6 linked regions of the Canis lupus familiaris genome follow. The protein of the gene in region 6 interacts with the protein of the main gene of each other region in a pairwise test. Links are inferred from orthologs where the notes say so. Each region holds a gene or a part of one and is shown on either strand. Other genes may lie near its edges. The genes, in order: RASSF5, ATF7IP, DCP1A, EWSR1, LMO4 and SMAD4.

Evidence for each region.
Region 1: the proteins of SMAD4 (region 6) and RASSF5 interact in binary tests that used the Homo sapiens proteins (3 or more experiments, as listed by UniProt). The link is inferred for Canis lupus familiaris from reciprocal best matches to the Homo sapiens genes SMAD4 and RASSF5.
Region 2: the proteins of SMAD4 (region 6) and ATF7IP interact in a two-hybrid assay, tested with the Homo sapiens proteins (2 studies listed by BioGRID and IntAct). The link is inferred for Canis lupus familiaris from reciprocal best matches to the Homo sapiens genes SMAD4 and ATF7IP.
Region 3: the proteins of SMAD4 (region 6) and DCP1A interact in binary tests that used the Homo sapiens proteins (3 or more experiments, as listed by UniProt). The link is inferred for Canis lupus familiaris from reciprocal best matches to the Homo sapiens genes SMAD4 and DCP1A.
Region 4: the proteins of SMAD4 (region 6) and EWSR1 interact in binary tests that used the Homo sapiens proteins (3 or more experiments, as listed by UniProt). The link is inferred for Canis lupus familiaris from reciprocal best matches to the Homo sapiens genes SMAD4 and EWSR1.
Region 5: the proteins of SMAD4 (region 6) and LMO4 interact in binary tests that used the Homo sapiens proteins (3 or more experiments, as listed by UniProt). The link is inferred for Canis lupus familiaris from reciprocal best matches to the Homo sapiens genes SMAD4 and LMO4.

What each region holds. Positions count from the first base shown.
Region 1 is NC_049259.1:3,364,575-3,368,799, forward strand, and holds the start of RASSF5 (ras association domain-containing protein 5), read left to right. Parts: upstream 1-1,425; 5' UTR 1,426-1,455; coding exon 1,456-1,909; intron 1,910-2,765; exon of another isoform or gene 2,766-2,819; intron 2,820-4,225. UniProt on the Homo sapiens protein: Potential tumor suppressor. Seems to be involved in lymphocyte adhesion by linking RAP1A activation upon T-cell receptor or chemokine stimulation to integrin activation.
Region 2 is NC_049248.1:14,037,489-14,040,988, forward strand, and holds part of ATF7IP (activating transcription factor 7-interacting protein 1), read left to right. Parts: intron 1-2,276; coding exon 2,277-3,500. UniProt on the Homo sapiens protein: Recruiter that couples transcriptional factors to general transcription apparatus and thereby modulates transcription regulation and chromatin formation. Can both act as an activator or a repressor depending on the context.
Region 3 is NC_049241.1:36,923,059-36,926,558, forward strand, and holds part of DCP1A (mRNA-decapping enzyme 1A), read left to right. Parts: intron 1-2,896; coding exon 2,897-3,035; intron 3,036-3,500. UniProt on the Homo sapiens protein: Necessary for the degradation of mRNAs, both in normal mRNA turnover and in nonsense-mediated mRNA decay. Removes the 7-methyl guanine cap structure from mRNA molecules, yielding a 5'-phosphorylated mRNA fragment and 7m-GDP.
Region 4 is NC_049247.1:23,003,698-23,007,197, forward strand, and holds part of EWSR1 (RNA-binding protein EWS), read left to right. Parts: intron 1-963; coding exon 964-1,175; intron 1,176-2,012; coding exon 2,013-2,193; intron 2,194-3,500. UniProt on the Homo sapiens protein: Binds to ssRNA containing the consensus sequence 5'-AGGUAA-3'. Might normally function as a transcriptional repressor. EWS-fusion-proteins (EFPS) may play a role in the tumorigenic process.
Region 5 is NC_049227.1:61,435,912-61,439,848, reverse strand, and holds the start of LMO4 (LIM domain transcription factor LMO4), read left to right. Parts: upstream 1-1,137; 5' UTR 1,138-1,681; intron 1,682-3,757; exon of another isoform or gene 3,758-3,849; intron 3,850-3,937. UniProt on the Homo sapiens protein: Transcription cofactor. Plays a role in establishing motor neuron identity, in concert with MNX1, acting, at least in part, to disrupt LDB1-LHX3 complexes thereby negatively modulating interneuron genes in motor neurons.
Region 6 is NC_049222.1:24,038,340-24,042,334, reverse strand, and holds the start of SMAD4 (mothers against decapentaplegic homolog 4), read left to right. Parts: upstream 1-1,195; 5' UTR 1,196-1,239; intron 1,240-3,252; exon of another isoform or gene 3,253-3,417; intron 3,418-3,995. UniProt on the Homo sapiens protein: In muscle physiology, plays a central role in the balance between atrophy and hypertrophy. When recruited by MSTN, promotes atrophy response via phosphorylated SMAD2/4.

The sequences.
Region 1 (4,225 bases), on a different chromosome or scaffold from region 6:
CACGTCCTCATCTCAGCTCCTTCTGCTTTGTAACACTGTGGGGTTGGCTATTTTCCCTTGTGCCCAGAGACCACCTCTTGAGGTGAGAAGCTCCAGCCTCCGGTGAGGCCCGGCACCTGGAACATGTCCCCTGCCTCAACGCAAAGGGCTCTCTGATTGCCATCACCATGAAGGAGAAGCTGTGGACGGAAGCAGGCTGGGAATTCCCTGATCACTGGACTTTCCAAATTTTAGGAATCATCTAAAACTTACCTCCAAAGGAAAAGCAAAAGCAAAAGTGAAGATTCCCCCACCGGGCGCTGGGGGGAGTCCCATCTCTGACCTGGGAAGGAGAGGGTGCCAGTGGGAGGTCGAGAGGACTTTAGATTATTTTCAAAGTTGGTGACCTCTGTTGAATCAACCAAACTGAACCCCAGGTTTTACGAGGACGGGCGGTGGTCACTGCGTCAGAAGAGTGGATCGCAAATGCAATTGCCTGTCTTCCCACTCCCAGACTAGTTTACAGGCAAAAAACAAACCCTGGAGGCTGGAGGCTGGAGGCTGGAGGGGGCCCAGGGCCATGCTTCTGGCCCCTTCCAAGGTCCAGCAGTCCCGTTCCCCGCCCGCGAGAGACGGTCAGGACAGGCTGCTAACTTGGCGGGATCCGGTGTAAAGAAAACCTGCCGGGCTCTCCGTTCAACGAATATTAAGCCTCAAGACGGTGGAATCGGAGCCACCAGATGGAAGGGACAGAGGAGGCTGTGAAGCAGGCTCGGGGGCAGCGGAAAGCGACCCGGCGTCGGGTCCCCGGGGGCGCCGTCCTCTCCTGACGCAGGGGGGTCCCGGGGTCCCCGGGCAGCCGCGGGCAGAGCCGGCCGCGACCCAGGAAGACGCGCGCTCCGCAGCCGCGAGGGGGGCGCTCTCGGGGGCCGGGCCCGGGGTCATCCGCACCCCAGGCTTCCGGGAAAGGGGAACCCGGTAGGGGAAATCCAGCCCGTCCCGCGGTCGGCGAGGGCAGCGTCCCCGCCGCGCGCCCCTGGGGGTCACGCGGTTCCGCCCGGCGGGGGGGGGGGGGGCGGGGGAGGCCGAGGATGTGCGCGCCCCGGCCCGGGACCTCGCCGTAGACGCCCCCCCCAGCTAGTTCCTAGGCCCCCCGCGGCCTCCTGCGCCCTCACCTGGGCGTGGGGGGGCGGGGGGCGGGGGAAGCGGCGGGAGAGCGGAGGAGGCGGGGCTGCAGGCGGCGGCGGCGGCAGCAGCGCGTCTTGAGCGGCCCGGGCCGTCCGCTCGGCCTCCCGCAGACGCCCCGGAGCGCGCGCTCGGCGGCGGGTGGTTCCCCGGGCGGCCTCCCCGCCGCGCCCCGCCCCGCCCCGCCGCGCCCCGCCCCGCCCGCTGCGGCCCCTTAAAGGCGCGCGGGGGAGGGCGGGCCGCCCGCCTCTCGAGCGGACTCGGGAGCCGCCGCCGCCGGCGCGCGTGGCCATGGCGTCCCCGGCCATCGGGCAGCGTCCCTACCGGCTGCTGTTGGACCCAGAGCCGCCGCGGTACCTGCAGAGCCTGAGCGGCCCCGAGCCGCCGCCGCCGCCGCCCCCCGGCCGCTCCCCGCGCCGCTGCGCCCCGGCACCTCTGTCCACCGCGCCCGGGGCGCACGAGGGGCGCGGCGCCCGCAGGGCCGCCCGGGCGGACGCGGAGCCCCAGCCGCGGCCGCCCAGACCCCCTCGCCCCATCCGGCCGGGTCTGCAGCAGAGACTGCGGCGGCGGCCCGGAGCGCCCCGGCCCCGCGACGTGCGGAGCATCTTCGAGCAGCCGCAGGACCCCCGCGTCCCGGTGGAGCGAGGCGAGGGGCACCGCTTCGGCGACCTGGCGCTGCGGGGCGGCCGCGGCTGGTGCGACCTGTGCGGACGGGAGGTGCTGCGGCGGGCGCTGCGCTGCGCGAGTGAGTGCGAGGCCGGGGCGGGGGGGGGGGGGGCTCGGGGGGCCGCGGGAGGCCTCCGGGCGGGTGTGCTCCAGGGGCTGCCGGCACGCCAGGTGTGCCTACGCCGGCTTAACAAATGCCCCTTTCCCTGACAGGTGCGTAGCTTCCCCTGCGCGCACACACGCGCGCACACACACACGCGCGCGCTCTCGGGTTGCGGATGAGGACCACCGCGGCAAGGTCATTCCGTTGTCTCCCACGCACCCGCTTGCTTTTGTTGTAGCTTCGTGACAGTGGCTGCTGAGACTGCTCTTGACACGGCCATTTGACCCGTGCTTATTAGGGTTAATGGGAAAACGGCTTGTCTCCCGCGGTCCAGGCCCGCGGTGCGTGTCCACCTGTGGTGCACCCCCCTCCAGGGCGCACTGTTGGGACGGGAAAGAGACCCGGTTCGGCTTTGGATGGAAAGGGGCTGCGGGTGGAAGTGAGCCTGAGGTCACCCGGACCGTGCCCCCTCCCCCCTCGTTGCCTTCCGCTCTGACCCTCCCCCTAGGCGGTGCACCAGTCATCAGTGTCAACTCCCTGTCCAGTACTTTCCTCCCTGGAGCTCTCAGGCCCCTCCAGCCTCTTTCTGAGCCAGGCTCTGCTTGAAACCTGACTGTAGAACACTGGACACCCAGCGTGTAGACTTGCTGAGCAAATTTGCAGTCTTCTTGGGGGTGAGGGTTATTATTTTTGTTTCTTCATCCAGTTAGGCACGGGTATCTCTTTAACCGTGTCCTCTCCCCGCCCCCATATTTGCAGTTGCCGTGTTTGGTGGAGGATATCCATATCCATGTGTTTACGTGTTTACAGAGATATTTAAATATCTGAAGTACAAAGCACAGAGGATGGCACAGCCCCTAACAAGCATCTCTGGAAATGGGTTGTGGTTTGTATCTGTCCGCGAAGGGCCCTTCCCCCAGGACCCAGGGCCCACATCTCCCATCTGACCGCAGCTGCTTCCCCATCAGGAAAACCCTACCTTGCCCGTCTCGTCTCTGCAGTTCACAGCAGAGGCTGTGCAGGGTGTCCCCTGCTGCGACTGGCTTCAGGGGAGGAAAGCTCACATTCTAAGCCAGGGTCAAGCAGAAGGGAAAGATTGGAGGGGAGAGTAGGTGTTGCTCCCTCTGCCAGCAGAACTCACGGTTTAGGTGCTAACACGAAAGGAAAGAGCAGACTTCATAGAGGTGGGTGTTGTGGTTGGAGGGCAGCTGCCACTCGGTAAATGCTCCCGACCTTACAGTAGAATCAAATGTCACTTGCCCATGGACGTCTTGGCAACTATTGCCCTCTCAGGGGTCCTCGGGTACTTTACTGTACCCCCCACGTCTATAAACACAGACAGAGGGAGCACTCACCGTCCTGGAGTTCGCTGTGCTGGAATCCTGGGAAATCCACTTCAGTGGAATTCTAGTCTGTATTAAGACGTTTGGGGACTGTATCACCCAGGGATGTCTGAACACCAGAGAGGGAGCAGAGCTGGAATCAAGGGACTAGGAGCGGAGTCTCTGTTTGTCATTATTAATATTTAACTAGCTGGGGACCTGTGGCTGGGTGGGAACAGTTGAGAAATGTTCTGATGTGCGAATGAGCGAATGAGCGCTGGCAGGTGAAGACACAGCTGGCTGCACTCCCCGAGCATCTTCCTTTAAGTTGACCATCTAATTCCATGCTGCGGTTGGTTTGTTTGATCTTTGTTTTCAAGAGCAAGGTTCAGAAATAGGACTCTAAAAAGGCAATAGCATGCAGCGATTAAGAGAACAGACTGAAGCCAGAGGACCTGTTTCAAATCCCTACTCCACCGCTTAATCTCTGTGTCATTCTGGGCATCTCTGTGCTCTGCTTTCTTGCTCTTAAAAAAAAATGAGGCTAACCCTGTCGGCTTCATTGTGTTAATGTGAGAATTAAATGAACGAATATATGTAAAGTGCTTTAACACAGTGCCTGGCAAAATGCATTGTGAACGTTTCTGTTATCCCCTCCCATCCGACAGCCGCAGTTATTTGTCTGGCCTCATGACACCTCTGAGGGTCACCCTTCCACGCAGTGAGTGTAGTTCTCAAACCCTGCCTGGTTGAACTAAGTGGGGAAGTGAGTGCCATGAGCATCCCCGGATGTGCGGGTGTCGGCTGTCCTCCAGAAACACCATTCCTGCTGGGTGTGGCCGAGGAGCATCCTCACTGAATACCAGTGGCTTAGAGAGCACTTAGGTATTAGTGTCTTGCCTTTATTTCATCTGCCCCTAACAAAGTGCCAGGCACAGAGCAGCCTCAGTAAGTAGCCTTTGATGAAGGT
Region 2 (3,500 bases), on a different chromosome or scaffold from region 6:
TCTCATAGTTCTAGATGCTAAAAGTTTGAAATGAAGGCAATCCAGGGCCATGCAGGGATTAAGGAAGGACCTATTTCAGACCTGTCTCTTAGCTGTGACTTGGCAATAGCCAAACTCCAGTTTTTCCATGGCTCTCTGTGTGCATATCTATATCCAGATTTCCCCCTTTTTATAAGGATACCAACCATAGTGGATTAGGGCCCACCCTAATGATGTTACTTTATCTTGTTTACCTTTGCAAAGATTCTGTCTAAATAAGATTACATTCCGAGACATTGTAATATGAAAATAATATATTTTATCAGATGGACACCTTGGTTGGGCCTGAAAGAAAGCCATAATGCTTCATGACTCACTTATAATCTACATTGCTTCATTTTTTAAAAAATGAAACCAACCTTGTATTTTTTTTAATGAGCTTCACATACTCATAATATATGCCTTTTTAAAGCAACTTTTTTTTTTTTTTTTAAATTTTTTAATTTTTTTTTTTAATTTTTATTTATTTATGATAGTCACAGAGAGAGAGAGAGAGAGGCAGAGACACAGGCAGAGGGAGAAGCAGGCTCCATGCACCGGAGCCCGACGTGGGATTCGATCCCGGGTCTCCAGGATCGCGCCCTGGGCCAAAGGCAGGCGCCAAACCGCTGCGCCACCCAGGGATCCCCTAAAGCAACTTTTAAATAACATGTGAAAGAATAAATCACAAGAGAAATTAGAAAATATTTTAGCAGAGCAACAATGAAGATGTAACACATCAAAATATGCAATGCAGCTAAAGCAACATTAAAAGGGAAATTTATAGCTTTATGTGTATTGCAAAAGAGGAAATATAGAAAATTAATGGTTAACGTTTAGCATGATGCAGAACTCCCAGACTTTTCCAGAGCAGCTGTACCATTTTATAATCCCACAAGCATTGTGTGAGGGTTCCAGTTTGTCTGTGTCTTTACCAATACTCATTATTCTCTTTGATTATAGCCATTCTGGTGTATATGAAGTGTTATTTCATTGCAGTTTGATTTATATTTCTCTGATGACTAGTAATGTTGAGCATCTTTTCATTTTTTAGTGTTTTATTAGCATTGGTTTATTGGCAATTGGTATATCTTTTAGAGAAACGTCTATTCAATTACTTGGTCTGTTTAAAAAAAAATTGAGAGAGCATGCACACACGTGCACGGATCTGTGTTCCCTTGAGCACAGGTGGGTGGGGAGAAGCAGAGGAAAGGGAAAGGGAGAGAGAACCTCAAGCAGACTTTTCATGTAGACTCCCTGCTTGATTCCACACCCCTGATATGACCTGAGTTGAAATTAAGAGTCAGGTGCTTAATGACTGAGCCACCCAGGCACCCCAGTTACTTTGTCCATTTAAAGTTGGGTTATTTTTGTTGTTATTCAGTTGTAATAGTATTTTATATTTTTTAGATGCAAGTCTCTTAGATACATTATTTGCAAATATATGATATGTGAATGTTTCCTGTTGAGAATTATCTTAGCAATTTTTGGATGGTAATCTTTTGTAAATATATTTATAGTACTGTTAATTTAGATATGCCTGATTGCAAATGCCATCTTTCCTTAATTTTCCTTTCTTTTTTTCCTTATTTGTATATCTCTTTCCCATTCCTCTACTGCTTTTGGTCTCTCATACTTTTATTTTTCTTTCTCCATCTACTTTTTTACTGCATTTACTTTTTTTATGCTACTATATCCTCTAGATTCTGAATTCATTAGCTTACTGAGAAAACTAGAAACTAGTCACTTTTTCCTTTCTCTCTCTTTCTTCTTTCTTTCTTCTTTCTTTCTTTCTTTCTTTCTTCTTTCTTTCTTTCTTTTCTTTCTTTCTCTTTCTTTTCCTTTCTTGTCTTGTTTTTTCTTTTCTTTTCTTTTTTAATGGGATGAATGGCCTTAATTGTTTGCAAAATGGGAAGTGGAGGAAGAGGGGACGTTACAGTTCGGCTCCAAGAGTGGCTCTAAAGACTGACTCTTGCTGTCCTCCCAAAAAAGCTAGTCTTTTTTTTTTTTTTTTTTTTTTTTAGTACTTCATGATGATTGATCTTCTATGTATGGTTCATACCTGTCATCAATTTTACATTACATAAGCCCAATTAATATGAAAATTAACACATAGCAAGGATTATTATGCTTTCTATATGTCATTATTTCAAAATTACATTAAGGCCTACTTGCTTGTTAAGATCAGTTTGCAGTTCATCTATGATTAGGTGGCTTCTGTTTCAATTATTAAACTCTCTCTCTTTCTCTTTTTAAAGATTCAAAATGGATAGTATAGAAGAACCTCAGAAAAAAGTCTTTAAGGCTCGAAAAACAATGAGAGTGAGTGATCGTCAGCAACTTGAAGCAGTGTACAAGGTCAAAGAAGAACTGTTGAAAGCTGATGTTAAGCTGTTAAATGGCAACCATGAAAATGGAGATTTGGACCCAACCTCACCTTTGGAAAATATGGATTATATTAATGACAAAGAAGAGGTGAATGGCATTGAAGAGCTTTGTTTTGACCCTGAAAAAAGTAAATCAGAATGGAAAGAAACGTCCTGTACCTTAAATGTTAATGTAAAAAACAAGCAGGATGATGATTTAAAGCATGAACCTTTGTCTACTAATAATATAGCTCCTGAACTAGTTTGTAAACTGACTGCTGAACCAGCTTCTGATGAGCCAGCCTCTGTTGATCTGGCTATGGGAGATCCAGCATCTGGAGATTCAACCCCTGAAGATCTGGCTTCTGAAGTATTAACCTTTGGTGATGCCACCTCTAGTGATCTTGCCTCTGGTGATCCCACCTCTGGCGATCCCACCTCTGGTGATATCACCTCTGGTGAAATAGTCTCTGGTGAAACAGTTTCCAGTGAGCCATTCTCTGGTGAATTGGTGTCTGGTGAGTCAGTCCCTGATGAATCAGTCTCTGGTGAACCGATCTCCAGTGATCCAGCCTCTGGTGATTCAGCCTCTGGTGATCTGTCCTCTGGAGCATTGGCCTCTGATGATCCACCCTCTGGTGATCTGGCTTCTGGTGATCTAGCCTCTGGTGATCCAACCTCTGGTGATCTGGCCTCTGATGAACCCACTTCTGATGAACTAACCTCTGATCCCACCTTTGAACCAGCTTCTGTACCAGTTTGTGAACCTGTTCCTGAAACTGACAGTACAGAGCTTAGTAGCAATAAAGGTGATGATTTTCTTGAAAAAAATGGGGATGATGAAAAGTTAGACCAAATTTTCTCATTGGATGAGAAAAATAAAGCTGATAGTAATATTGATGCTGATGAAGAAACCCTAGAAACAGATGATACAGTTATTTGTTCAGATCTACCTCCTGAGAATGAAAAGAAGGTAAAAGAAGATGCTGTCACAGAACCTGCTCTTAGAGAGGAGGCTATCTCCAGCAGTATGGAAATTGACCAAAGTGAAAAGAATGAAGATGAAAATTCTGCAGACCTTGTAGAAACCATTAGTGAAAATATTATAAAAGATGA
Region 3 (3,500 bases), on a different chromosome or scaffold from region 6:
TTGGCAAATTGAATTTAAATAAAAAATTAAAAAAAAAAAAAAAAACACTGAGAGGCTATGTGGGAGAGCAAGTGAACTTCTAGACCTGTACCATATCTGAATTTGGAAATCCTCTCTGGTCAGTGGCAAAGTTGAAAATTCACTAAACTTAGGAAATGCTGACTCTCTTAAAGAGGAAATCCACTCTGCCAGAAACTCTTCTTAACAATAAGCACTTGTTAGAATGGTTGCCTATATAGACTATGAAATTTGGAGAATTCATGGAAATAAGCTTTATTCCTGATTTTACAGGTAGTCTTGGGGTATATTTGAGAGGAGGGTGAGAGGCAAGGGCATTCCTCACAGAGTTTGGATTAGAAGAGTCTTTACAGAGTCTAAGCATCATTCCTGTTCCTTCCATGCCACCTAGACAGCTTCTGCTTGCAGCAGTGGTGTGCTTTATAAGGTGGCCGTATTCCACGGGTGAGCGGTGGTGACTATTAGAAATGACCAGAATTCTCTTTGGGGGCCCCTGGCTGGCTCAGTCAGTAGAGCATGCAACTCTTGATCTCAGGGGCAGGAGTTCAGACCCCATGTTGGACGTAAAGCTTACTTTAAAAATAAAAAAGAAAGAAAGAAAAGGAAATAAAAGAGATGTTCTTCTTTTGAATCAAAATTACAGATCCAGTCCGGGTCAGGGGAGAGAGGAATACCAGCCTGGGCAAGACAAGCAGCATGGCAGGAGGCAGGAGAAATAGGCTGTGCAACTGGAGTCCTCAGTAAAGGTGGATTCAGACCGGTGCAGTCTATAACTGAGTGTAACTACAAGTCCCTTGAAATAGCACTTTTTTTTATCCTCCTGATTATTAAGGAGGGCTTGTTAATAATGGAACATGAAGAGGGGCACCTGGGTGGCTTAGTGGTTGAGCGTTCACCTTAGGCTCAGGTCATGATCCCAGGGTCCTGGAATCGAGTTCTATATCAGGCTCCCTGCAGAGACTCTGCTTCTCCCTCTTGCCTGTGTCTCTGCCTCTCTGTGTGTCTCATAAATAAATAAATAAAATCTTTAAAAAAATAAAATAACGGAACATGGAGGAAAGTACAAAAAAGGAAAGTGAAATTGCTTGTGACCCACCATTAAGAAATAACCAATATATGTCTCTCTGGTCTTTTTTTCCTTTGTAACTGGCCTCACAGCTGTCACAATCTTTCTTTCCCAGTATGGATAGAGGAAAAAATAATGTTGATTCTAAATGGTCTGATTCTCATATCACATAACAGTCTTCTTTCACTCTACTGTAAAGTCCATGATTGTATATTTATTTTCAAAATAATTATCCCAGGGGCTCCTGGGTGGCTCAGTCGGTTAAGCATCTCAGTCTTGGTTTTGGCTCAGGTCATGATCTCCGGGTCCTGGGATCAAACCCTTTGGGAATTTGCACTCAGTGGGGAATCTATTTAAGATTCTCCCCTTCCCTCTGCTTCCCTACATGCTTTTTCTGTCTAAATAAATAAATAAATAAATCCAAAAAAAAAAAAAGCCAAAACTAATCATCCTATTCACAGCTGTAAGAATCTAGATCAATAAATGCCATTACCTTAAAGCAGAATTTTCCAAACAAATCCTGCCTCAGGAGAAGATTCTATATGGTCAAATAAATTTGGGAAAATTTTTAAGCCCACCCTTATCAGAGAATCGTAATACATTTTAGCATGTTAAAAAGTCAGAATGATTCTGCTGTTAAAAAAAAAAAAAAGATCTGTTTGATATTTTCAGTGTTTTCAAATAGAAGAACCATCCCACACACAGTAATGGGAGCTCCTAAGCAGGCTGTTTAAAAGGCTGTTTTAGAGCAGTGAACAGATACCAAGTAGCCTATTGTTCTGCTCCTGTTATTCAGAATAAACAACAAACCCTTGGCTGCTGAATTATTTTATTGCCTATCCTTATCACTGTCCAGAAAGTTTTCAGTTCATACAATTATCAAGCTGTGTCTGTGCTCATAATAACCTACTCATTACAGCTGGGATTAAAACATAAATGAATCTTAAAAAGAAAAAAGGCCCCAACCCTATCAGTGACATTCTTAACCCTCAACTTTTCTTGCTTTGTGTGTTTTCAAGTGCAGAATTAGTGTAAGCACCAATCAGAATAAAGAGCATTACCAATCACCCTGACCTCAGCCACCCACTCTGATTTCTAAGGAGAGAATAAAGGAAACCTTTGAAGATTCCCCAAGACCCCTCTTTTCAAGAAGGTGGTTTCTCTCTTTCCTTGCTAGTCTGGTGTCGTACAAACTTTGCATAGTTGGTTGCTCAGCTCTGCAACCTGCCTTTGTCTTGCTTGCCATGTCCATTTGAAAATGTACTTTACCTGGTAGTTTGAAAGAGAAATAATTAAGTCATTTTTACTTTATTTGCTTCCACCAACTCTAGAAAAGGATTCTGTACTTCTGTCCTTCAAACAGTGAGACACGCCATTCAGCGTTGTTATGCATGAGCTGGCCAAGTGGTTAGTCACATGTTCCCGGGATGAACATGTTTCCGGGATGAGGTAGCGGAGGCCTTGCATATGTATTGGGAGAACAGTGTATCCTGTGACACTCTTCCCATATCCACAGAAGACGAACACCAGGAGAGTTCATGGGTCAAATCGGGTTTAAAGAAGTGTTTCTGGGATCCCTGGGTGGCGCAGCAGTTTGGCGCCTGCCTTTGGCCCAGGGCGCGATCTTGGAGACCCAGGATCGAATCCCACATCGGGCTCCCGGTGCATGGAGCCTGCTTCTCCCTCTGCCTGTGTCTCTGCCCCCCCCCCCCCCCCCCCGTGACTATCATAAATAAATAAAAAATTAAAAATATATATATATATTTAAAAAAAAAAAAGAAGTGTTTCTGAAACCTGGTTCTCTTCCACTAGTGTTGTAGAAGAGGAGACACGGCGGTCCCAGCAAGCTGCCCGGGACAAGCAGAGTCCCAGCCAGGCCAACGGCTGCAGTGACCACAGGCCCATCGACATCCTGGAGATGCTAAGCAGAGCCAAGGATGAATATGAGAGGGTGAGATGCTGACTAGGAGGACCAGCAAGGGTGGGGGAGGCCTCTGGGGGACTCATGTACTGGGAAGGTCACCTCTAGGCAGAGATGACTTAGTCCAAAAAGCAGAGATGATTAGTCCAAAAAGAGAATTTTGCCTTACAGTTTTTAGCCTAAAAGGGAAAGAAATTTGCATATCTCCGAGTCCTTGACTTGCCATAAAAACCTAGAATGCTCTTTTTCTGTTTCCTGTAAAATTACTATGGGAGAAAATGGTTTCAGGTTGTGGAAGGTAGCCTGCAACAAGTAGTTCTGAAAAAGCTTCTTACCTATTGTTAACCCTTGTAGCCTCTGCTAAGGCTTAGAATTTATGTAGTCTGATTATTTGCACCCACTAATACTAAAAGGTACACTTATGGTCTGTAATTGGTGGTAGGTTCACAGCCTTTAAATAAACAGCATTTGAATTTTACCCACATGTGAAGCTTT
Region 4 (3,500 bases), on a different chromosome or scaffold from region 6:
ACTGACCGGTAAGTGTACAGCGTGGAGCAACAGTGGGCTTATGGCAGTTCTTCGCTGAGCCAGCCCGTGTTGCTGAGGGTAGTGCATCTGGCCTGTTGAATAGGTACACTCAGTGAAGAGAAGCTATTGAGTCCTTACAGCCATGTTGGGGGATGTGATTGAGGCTTAGTTTAGTTGTGCTCTTAAATATAATGTTTTTTGATTTTTGTTATTATAGTTCATCTAAAGTTTAATAGCAGTTCTTTGAAGCTTTATCATTACTCAAGAAGGTATCTTTGATTAGTTTCCCTGCAATGTGGCTGACACGTCAAAAACACTTCTAGTACAGTGCATTGATTCTGAAGTTTCTTTAGTTTCCTTATCTGTCTTTTCTTCATGAATGCCCAGATTTCATAGATAATCAGGCATGTCTGAAAGTTCAAAAGCATATATGATATATAGCAAAACAGTTTGAAACTTGGACAGATCATCAAGAGAAAATTGCCGTATTTGTGTGACCGTATACACACCAGAGCCTTGTACTTCTAGAACAGTCACTGTCATGATTGAAGGAATTATTAGAGGCAGGTTTAGAACTGCAGTACTTAACTACCTCCTTTACCTCTATGGCTTTTTCACTGGGTCAGCCTGCCCTGGGTCCCTGTGCACATATTCTTAATTCAGGAAACATCAGACTCACAAATTTGCCTTGAATTTAATCGAACACTGGTTTTAAGAGGGTGGGGGGTAAAAGGAGTCTCTAAGGATTGTATGTTGTATAGATTGGTTTGCATTAATTTTCTCTTTTGCATTTAAAGCTTTATTCTGAATACAGATATATTTGCTTAAATTCAAACTGTTGATATTTAGAAAGTAAGTGCATTTTTAAGGGTTTCTGTGTCACAATATGAATGTCTCGTATTTAGGAGGCTTGAAGAAATAACAAGCTTCTCCTTCCTAATAAGCTTTTTTTCTTTCTTTCAGCTACTCCTCTACACAGCCGACTAGTTATGATCAGAGCAGTTACTCTCAGCAGAACACCTATGGGCAGCCGAGCAGCTATGGACAGCAGAGTAGCTATGGTCAACAAAGCAGCTATGGGCAGCAGCCGCCCACTAGTTATCCCCCCCAAACTGGATCCTACAGCCAGGCTCCAAGTCAATATAGCCAACAGAGCAGCAGCTACGGGCAGCAGAGTGAGTTGCTAAGAGAGAAAACCAAATAAGAATGATTATGTTTGGAGTTTCTGAACATGGGGAAATGCTCTTTGTCGCTATTTACTTTTGGACTCCAGGATGCATCTTTAGGACATAACATCCTAGCTAACTGCTTGGATATCCCATTAAAGACATAAATGCTTTTCTCCAATTTAATTGTTGTTAGTGTACTTTGCAAAAAAAATAAAATAAAAGAGAGTTTGTAACTAACCATAGAAAATATTATAGGACGTTAGCCTCGCTCTCTTTGAGGAGGCTATAATACAGTGAGTAAAGCTGGCATTCCTGTGGCCTACCCACCCACTCAGTAAGGAAGCGAGCAGGTAGCTGTTGAAGACTACTGCAGTTTTGATAGTCAAGTAAATGATATGTTTTTGGGGTTTTTTGTTTGTTTAAATCCATAAAAAAAGTAACCAAAAACTCAAAACTGCATTCCCAATTTAATTTTTATCTGGATCATTGTTTTTAATTAAACTCCATCCATGGGCGTGTTTCATTATAGCTATGAAATGAGTAGTGCTTCTTGATGGAGCCCAACCTTTAAGCCCTAAGAAACCTGCCTGCTATTTTGTTTCCTGAGAGTAGTTTTAAAACAGCTTTTGGAGACATCCTAGGATGCAAAACCCTATAAACTGTTGACCAGAGGGCTCATTTCTTATTTGGGTGGTTTATTCTAGGCTAACTATGTAAGGTTACCTCAGAAGATGGTGCCTTGGTTAGTGCCTTGCGATTGAGCATTCTGTGATTCCAGGAGAAAGTACAACAGGCAGTGTTCAAATGCTGGTCCATGGCTTACAGATGTGACTCTTTCCTCAGGTTCATTCCGACAGGACCACCCCAGTAGCATGGGTGTTTATGGGCAGGAGTCTGGAGGATTTTCCGGACCAGGAGAGAACCGGAGCATGAGTGGCCCTGATAACCGGGGCAGGGGAAGAGGGGGATTTGATCGTGGAGGCATGAGCAGAGGTGGGCGGGGAGGAGGACGCGGTGGAATGGGGTAAGAGCAAACCTTTTCTCCTTTTACCTAATTTTGTTTCATCCATAGGATTTTCAATGGAAAGAAGGGACTGAAAGACATAAGAAATTTATTTCTACATTTCCATGGACAATCTGTTGAGCCCAGGCCATCTTCTAAAACATGGAAATGTCATCTTTGTGGCATAGATTAAGTGGCAGTTTGCTTTTTTCCCTGCCAATCTACTTGGTTGGGTTGGGGAGAACAAAGAATGGTTTTGAAACGAGAGCTTTCAGTTCCCTTCATGGTTTCCAGAGGTCAAAAGCCTCTGTGGGTAATAGACTCGGGATGGAACACACACAACCCTTCTAACACCCCTAGGTTTTTAACTAATTGCCTTTGAATGGTTGTCTTGAAATACCTGGTATATATATATATATACTGCAGAAAAGGAACACAGTTGTTTTCCACAATGTTTGTCCCCAACTTCTGTTAGTACTTGGAATTGTTGAACGTAATGATGAAGATCTTGGTCCCATAACCCCTGAACTATGACCTGAGGTGCACCTGGTACAGAAAAGTCTAATAGTTTTTTGCAGAGTAATGTATATAATTACAGGATCACTCCCCATTGGAGATTTTGAGAAGTCTAAATCGGTTTGACCATTTTGATTGATGGCACAATCTGGTTTAGAAAACTTTGTTTAGATCAGTAACATAACCCTGCTACCTGTGCCTGCCCCTCCCCTCCCTCTCCCATCCCTTCCCCCCTTTATGGTGTCTGTACTTTGATGAAGGTGAGGTATAATGTTGATGGTTAACATAATCTGGAAGGTTTAGTTCTGTGTGTGTTCTGTCCCTATATAAACTAGTAAAAAAAAAAAAAAAAAAAGTTATGCAGAATGTTACATAGTATGTATAAATTGGATTTGGTGCCACTGTTGGTACAAGGAAAAATTGGGTGTAGGGATTCTTTTTTGTTTTGTTTTGTTTTGTTTTAAATAGAAGTGGACTTCAAAATTAAATAAAAATTTGATCTTTAATTTTTATATTCCCAAATCTGTTTCCTATTGAAAGATAACTGAGAATTAGGTTCTGTGTATTCTGCATAACTTAAAAAAGTCTTTGGTGAAATCTTTATTGGAAGAAACAGTTATCTGACAACACAAAAATTGATAAATAATTTGGTATAAAATAAAATCAGTCTGATTTGGAAAATGTCATTCCATTATAAAGGTTTCACTTTATGGATGTTTTAAAATAGACGTAGACACTTGAAATTACTATCATCACGTCTCCAATCACCTAGAATTCTTAGTATTTTCCAATTGCAAAATCAATTTCAAGTT
Region 5 (3,937 bases), on a different chromosome or scaffold from region 6:
ATTTATACTAGACGTGACCTTTCTTCCTCCCCAGAGGCTGTGGGATGGTGAATGTTGCCATTCCTTGTTGCTGTCTGGGGGGGGAGGGGGGGGGGGACGGGGGGCTTGAGGAATCGGGCCTCTCCTCCTGCACAGCAGGGGTGGATGGAGGCCGAGCCCTCCTCCCTGAAGTTCCCCTGGACCCCCAAAGTCCGGGCTGTGAGCTCTTCAGCTCCGACTTCGGACGATCCCCTACGAGACGCCCACGGGGCTCTCGGCCGGCGCTCGGGCCCACGCGGGGGACCGGGGCCGGGCGGCCAAGTCCTGCAAGACCTGCGGACTCGGTCCCCACCTCCTCGCTCGCTCAACTTCCCACTAAGGGCTCATCCGTCTCCAACGCCCGCGAATTAAAGGCAGAAAAACAAAACCTCTTCTGCGTGCGAGCGAAGCCCCCCGCCCGGAGGTTTCGGGGAGACTCTTCCTCCCCAACAGGAGGGGACCCATTTTTGAGCAAGACGAGAAGTTTCCTGCGGGGCTCGCGCGGGCGCGCGGGGGGGGGGTCCCCGAGGGGCGCGCGGGTGCGGGTCCCCGCGATCGCCGGCGCGGGCAGGAGCGGCGCCCCCGGCCGCTCCATCCTGCCCCCCGCGGGAGGGGGTTGGGGTCCCGCCGGGGGTCCCGCGAGGGTCCCCGGGGCTCGGCCGCCCACCTGCCCCCGGCCGGGCCGTCTCCGCCCGCCGCCTCCCCCGCTCCCCCGCCCGCGGAGTCTCGTTCCAGTCCTCCCTTTGTCCTGCCCCGGATTGGCAGGTTTTATTATTCCGCCTGAACAACCCGGCCGCCCAGTGGCTGAGGGTCGCTGACGTCGGCGGCAGAGCCGGGGAGTAGTTGGGATTCGGCTCTGTCAGTAACACATGTGTAAGCGCCGCGCAGGGAGCGAGCGAGCCGGCTAGAGGCCAGCGCCGCCGCCGCCGCCGCCTCCTCCGAGCCGGGCGGCCGCCGCAGCAGCAGCAGCCCGGGCAGCGGCGCAGGCTCCAGCGCGCCGGGCCCGGCCGGCCGCAGCTCCCCGGCTCCCGGCCTCCGCGCCGGCCGCCGCCGCTCCGGGGCTCTGGTGCCCGCGGCCGCTCCCCGGCTGGAGGGGCAGGAAGCGCGGCCGAGCGCCCGCCGCCGGCCCCGAGCGAGCGAGCGGGCGAGCGAGCGGGCGGGCGGGCGCGCGGGAGGGAGGAAGGCGGAGGAGGAGGAGGAGGAGGAGGAGCGGGAGGCGCGCGGGCGGGGGCGGGGGCATATACAAAGTGAAGCCACATTGCCAAACTTGCAGCAGCGATTGCAGCAGTTGCTGCCGCTGCGCCGCGCCTGAAGCCGCGCCGCGCGGGCCGCGGGCTCCTGCAGCTGCTCGCGCGGAGCCGGAGCCGGAGGCGGAGGCGGAGGACGACGCGGAGGACTCAGCCTGACACTCCAGCTCCCGGCCGCCTGCCGCTTACGGCGGGGCCCCCCGACCCAGCCTCAGGGCGACGCGTTTAAAAAAAAAAAAAAAAAAAAAAAAAAAAAGCAGCCCTTAGCCCCCTCCTCCCCTTTCCTGCTTCTGCGAGAACATCCCCCCTCCCTCCAGCTCCGCCAGCCAAGGCGCCCCTTCCTTGGAAGCCGAGCGGCTTCGCTCGCTTTTCGCCGCCGCCGCCTCTCGCAGTATTGCAATATAGGGGAAAAGCAGGTAAGGGGACGGCTGGGGAGCCGCGGGCGAGGGGGGGCAGAGGGAGGAGGGGGCCGATGTGGGCCAGGGCTGTTTTCTTTGGCTTCCTTCCCTTGACCGTCCCAAATTGCAAGTAAACAATACGTCGGCTTGGATAATGCGCGAGTCTGAAACTACCGAGGCCGGCCTGCGAGCTAGCACGGAGGGCAGCCGGCCCCGGGCCGCCAGCTTTGTAGCGGTTCCTGCTTACAAAAGGGTTCTTCTTGGAGACGGGGCTGCTGGGGACCTGGGAGGGTGGGGAGGGGTGTGTGTGCGTGTGTGCGTGTGTGTGTGTGTGTGTGTGTGTGTGTGTGTGGTAGTGGGGGGGTATTTTCAGTTCCTAAGGGAAAGGCCGGAGGTGCTTAAATGAGGGTTTAAGTATGAGAAGTAGTGTGGGGGAAATAGTCACGACCCCCCCCCCCAGCCCCCCAGTAAACACTATTTTTGAAACAGTGGCAGAAAGGATCTAAGTGAGCAGGATTCAGTATTGCTGGTTCTTTTCAAAAATTCCTCTTGGCTTATAAGTCTTTTGTTCCAATCCAGGAGAAATCCGGTGAATCACCTAATTAAAATCAAGACATGAATTAAGCATCCATTTTTGTACTACAAATTGCCAGCGCTACGTTTGTCCCTCCCCTGGTCTCCATTAAAAAACACCAGAGACGTTGTTAAAGGGGGGCAGATTTTGCCTCTAGCTGCCAGTTCTGCTTTCTATTTCACTGACTATCCCAGGACCTAAATTGCTTGGCTATGTAATTACTAGAGTATAAGCCTATTTAACTTAAAAGCTTTCTTTTTTTTTTTTTTTTTTTTTTCCAACTCTAAATGAAACTTGATGAGGGCCCGTCCTTAGTTATCAGGGGAGTCAGTTTCTGGTCAGTCCTCTTGATTCATCTCTTTTAGATTTAATCAGCATTAAGGTATTGCTTGTCCTTAAGAGCTTTAGCTAATGGGGTTACTGGATGCTTTTCTCAGTGTAATGTTTCCTTTTCGAAAAAAATATACATATATATTTACCTCTCACCAAAGATGGGGGCGGGGAAGAGCTTGGAATCTCCTCCCTCCCTCTCCCCTTTTAAAAAGGAATTCGGAGCGATTAAAACGTTGGGGGAAACAGTTTAAAGACCTCGGGCAGGAAATGCAGATTCATTTGGGTTAGGGCTGAAATTGTAACAAAAAGCAATTCCTCGAGTAAATGCATCAGATAAATCAATTTACATAAAGGTATGATGCATTCGGATAAATGCAATGCTAATGGGTTTTAGAGTGGTCCTGTTTCCAAAGTCTCAGGGTTTTGTTACAGCTTAATTGGTGCAGTTCTTATTCTGGTTTATTGTGCGGTCACTGGACACACGTTCCGGGACTCTTTCGGAGGAAATGTGTTTAAAATCGGCCTATTTAAGGAACCCGAGTCCTTGTTTCGTTCCCTTCCCCTGGTTGTTTTTTTTTTTTTTTTTTTTTTTTTTTTTTGCAGCAGCCAAGTTGGGCCGGGGACAGGCAAAGTTCGCCCTCTCCCTTCTGAGGTATCAGCTGAATGTCTTGAGCAGATAGCCGGGAGCCTCGGGGGGAGCCTCCACTCTCGGCTTACAGAGGACAAAGACAAAACAGGCTGCTTAATTGGCAGTAAATAACTTGATCTTTTTATAGAATAAGTGACTGGAGGAACACTAGGACTTTATTGGACTCAGGATTGGAGGCAACAAATTAATCGGTTTAGGCTAAGCTTTATAAATTGATTCCTATATTATACCCCAGTTGCTTCTCGTGACATTCATTAGAAAGAGTGGGGAATTTTTTTAAAAGCAGTTTTTGGTGACAGCAGGACTGGCTCGAATATAACTTGTGCATCCCTTAATAGTGCCTTCTCGCATATTATCTGTAACGTCGCCCCCCCCCCCCCCCCACACACACACACTCCCCCCCCTTTGGAGGAACAAAGCTTTAGCATTTAAATTGCTGATCAAGGGCAGATTAGTGAGACCAAAGTGGAGAGTGTTTGTATAGGAAGTTAACAGGCATCCTAAAGTTCAATGATCTATTATTCTTGCCTGTGTCCTGAAAACCCAGAGAAAACACTCATTGATCTTCAAAATGAAATGAGATTTGGAACAATAATGGGAGATGGCGGTCACCACAATGGCATGTGAAAGGTGCTGTTTAAAATACGAAAAACCAGTTTCGCAACTTTACACACCGCACCCCCTCCCTCGCGTCCCCTGCCTCCCCTCCCACCACCTC
Region 6 (3,995 bases):
GCAGGGAACACGGGAGACGACGGCGGCGGGACACGCAGGAGTGCGGGTTGCCGTGGTGCGGGGGGGGGGGGCAGCTCGGGAACGGGCGGGATGCCGAGGGGATAGCAGGGGGGGACACCGTGGGGACAGCCAGGCAGGACAGCTTGGGAACGGGCGGGGACAGCGGGGCGAGGACAGCAGGGAGGGGACGGGGACGGGGGCGGGGACGGGGGTGGAGAGCAGGGACGGGGGGGCGGGGCGGGGGCGGGGCGGGGGCGGGGCCGGGACGCCGTGGGGACAGCGGGCGGGGCCGGCGCGGGGACGGGCGTACGGAGGGTCTGAGCGCTTCCTCGCCACTAGCTTGCGTCGGGCTCCCCACCCCCGGCAGGGGAAGTTTTTTCTAGGTGGTAAAAAATAAAACAAAAATTCGAAAGTATGCAACTCGTACGTGTTTTCTGAAACTTTTAAAAATAAAAGAAATGCGCGCATCTTGGAAAAGTTGAGATAAGTAGGTATGCACTGCGAAGCCGAGTTTCGCCCCACAGGTGGCCTCAACAGGTGCGCGGCAGGTCCTTGAGCGCCGCCCCCATCGCAGTGTCCCCCGAGCCCCGTCCACTGGCCTCCGTGACCCGCGGCCACACTCCCGCACGGGCTGCCGGTCCGCGCGCCGCGGAGCCGGGAGGGGGCCCGGCAGGTGTCCGCCCTCGGGGCCGCCCGCCGCCGGGCCGCGCATCGCGCCTGCGCCCCGCGCCTGCGCACAACCCCCCCGCCGGCGCTCCGCGGGGGGCGGGGCCGCGGGAGAGGGAGCTGCGGGGGCACGGGCCGAGGCCTGCAGTTACCCGGATGTGGTCGCCGTGCGCGCATGCTCCGTGGCCTCCCGACAAGTTGGCAGCAACAACACGGCCCTGGTCGTCGTCGCCGCTGCGCTAGCGGAGCGGCTCGGGTGGCGGGGCCCGCGTTGGCGCCCGCGCGCCGTCCTCGGGAGGCCTTGCCCGCCGGTCCTTCAGCGGCGCGGCCGCCCGGCGGCGGGAGCGGCTAGGGGAGCCGGGCGCCCCGCGACCGAGGGCCCCCCCCGCGGGGCGGCCCGGGAGCTCGAGGCGGCCGGCGGGCGGCGGCGGCGGCGGCGGCGAGGAGGGGCGGGGGCGCGGGGGGAGCGGTGGCCCGCGGACGGGCGGCGGCGGCGGCGGCGGCGGCGGCGGCGGCGGCGGCGGCGGCGGCGGCGGCGGCGGCGGCGGCGGCGGCGGCGGCGGCGGAGCCCAGGTAACGGCCCCGTGCCCTCCCCTTCCCCGGCCGGGCCCGCGCCCCCCCACCCCCGGGCTTCCCCGCCCCGGGGCGGGCTCGGGCGGCCGGTGCGTGCGTGTGCGCGTGCGCGTGCGTGTGCGCGGGGGGCGGGGCGGGGGCCGGGGGGCGGGGGGCCTCGCGCCTCGCGTCCCGGGCCCAGCGCCCCCGCGCCTCCGCGCCCCCGCGCCCGCCGCGGCTCCCCTGCCGTCGCCGTCGGTCTTTGTTGCTCCGAGGACTTGCGCCCGCCGCCCCCGCCGAGCGCGCCCGAAGTTTCCCGTCTCGGGGACACGTCGGTGCCGCCTTTGTCCTCCACTTTCCCTTCCTGCCGGGGCCGCTCCGGCGCTCGCCTCGGCCTGCGCTGGGCGCTCTCGCGGCTCGGGAGCGGGCGGGCGGCGGGGGGGAGCCCTCCCGCTGACCTGCGCGCGCCCCTCCCCCGCACCCCTCCATCCCTCCCCCCTCTCCTGATGAGCACCCGGCCGCCCCCCCAGCCTCCATCCCTCCACCTCTCCACCCCGCCCCTCCACTCCACCTCTCACCCCCCCATCCCTCCACCCCCCACCCTTCCACCCCTCCACCCCTCAATCCTTCCCCTAATCAGCTCCCGGCCGCCCCCCACCCCACCCCACCCCACCCCACCCCACCCCACTCCCAATGAAAACCCAAGGACCCAGTTTCTCCCGCTGCTGGGACTGCGAGCGCTGGGCGCGAGGCTCTAGGACGGAGGGCGGTGGCTCCATCACTTGCCCCCAAAACTGAGGTTATCATTTCTCAGGGAAGATTTTTCAAAGAAATGGGCGTGTTGGGTTAACTTGAAAGGTGGCTTTGGGGGCCTGGAGAGGTGTCCGACGGCTCTGCTGGTGGTGATGCGCAGCACCTCCCCCCCCCCCCCCCAAAGCCCTGGTGAAAGATTCTTTTTCACGAACACATTTTATTTCCGATGAATTCACTTTGGACCCAGTTCCTTGGTGCCTTTTGCGCTGTACTCTGAGGTGGGGCTGAGGGCCCTTCGGGGTCGTGGACGCGGCGCAGCGGGCTCCTGGGCATCTCCTGACCGCGAGCCAGGGTGCGGAGGAGCTGGGGTGCAGAGGCTCGGTAGGGGCCCCGACCTGCCGCAGGGAACACCCCTTTGAGTCCCTGCAGGGAGCACCCCCTTGGGTCCCTGCAGGGAGTGTCCTCTTGAGTCTCCACAGGGAGCACCCTAGTCTTCGCAGGGAGCACCCCCTTGAGTCCCCGCGAGGAGCACCTCCTTGAGTGTCCTCTTGAGTCCCCGTGGGGAGCGCCCCCTTGAGTCCCCGCAGGGAGCACCCCCTTGAGTCCCTGCAGGGAGTGTCCTCTTGAGTCTCCGTGGGGAGCACCCCCTTGAGTCCCCGCAAGGAGCACTCTAGTCTTTGCAGGGAGCACCCTAGTCTTCGCAGGGAGCACTCTAGTCTTCTCAGGGAGCGCCCCTTGAGTCTCAGCAGCAGTCTCTGTGGATCTTAAAAAAGTAGGTTGAGTAGTTTTTGTTGGAACAGACCGTGGAGTCTTAAGAGGAAATAAGGAAATCCACGCTTTGAAAAAGTAACGGGATTTAGGACGCAGCTGGGTGGGTGGGCCGCGGTGCCCGCGCCTGCCTTCCTGCACCTGCGCCGTGTTGCCCGCGAGCCTCTGAGCCTCCGAGGCGTGAGGACTTTTCCGTTAAGGACTTCTTATTTTTTCTTCTGAAAAGTTCTGATATGCCGAGTATGTGACATTTCAAGTTGTAAATGATGTGATTGACCTCTTAAAATATGACGTCCTGCTGCTGTTTCATGAGCTGTGACTTTGTTTCCCTAAACGGGTTTGTTACCAGAACCAACAGGACTCGCAGGGTTTTGGGGTCTAAAGGGGGTGATGAATTGTGTAGGTTTAAGTTGTCGGAATTAAACCTAAGAGCCTTTCTAGAGAAAATGGATAGAACCTTTCGTGGGTCTGTTAATAGAAGTGGCTTTTTCTTTGCTTTCCAGGTTTTTGGGTGAGGTTGCTTGAAGAGGCACTGCATCTTCTTAATTCTTTGATTTTCCGAGTAGGAGGGCCTGAGTGGAAGCTTCTCTGTTTAGCTGAGTGCCCGCCTTGTAAATCTCGAGCTTAGAAAAGAATTGCACGTCAGTTTGAGATTTGATGGAAATTTGGGCTGAGAAGGTGAATTTGAAATTTTTACATGGATCATTGGCCTTTTCTAATGGCTTTGCTGCTTGAAGCAATGCTGCTTACACTACGAAGCAGCAAATCTTCTAAAAACCTATGTATGTTTTATTCTGAGGCTACATTTTGGTTGAGCTGTTTATTTGTGTCTGAATTGTTTTTCTGCATTCCCCTTTAGACACCCCCCCCCCCCCATATTAAAGAGAAAAAAGCATTAAACTAATTTATGCTGCCCAGTCACACTCCAGCCCTCTGGCTTGGAAGCTGTTTTTTTCTGATTGAGCTGGTGTTATAACGTCATTAGACACTATCCTAATTGAGCTGTGAATTGCTGTGGCCTCTACTAGGGCTCTTAACCCTGCAGGATCTGTCCCGTTCATTTAAAACGCATTTTTAGTCCTGTCTAAAATTTTGCCTATTTTGTTGAGTACCTTTTTTTATGTTTAAAGTTATTTCAGTTCTATATTGTTCCCCTCTAGCTCATGCCTAACTTTTTCCCATCTTCCATCCAGTGATTTTGATAGTAAACAAGGCTTTAAACATCTTATGTTGGCCGTTTCGGTGCTCATTGTACA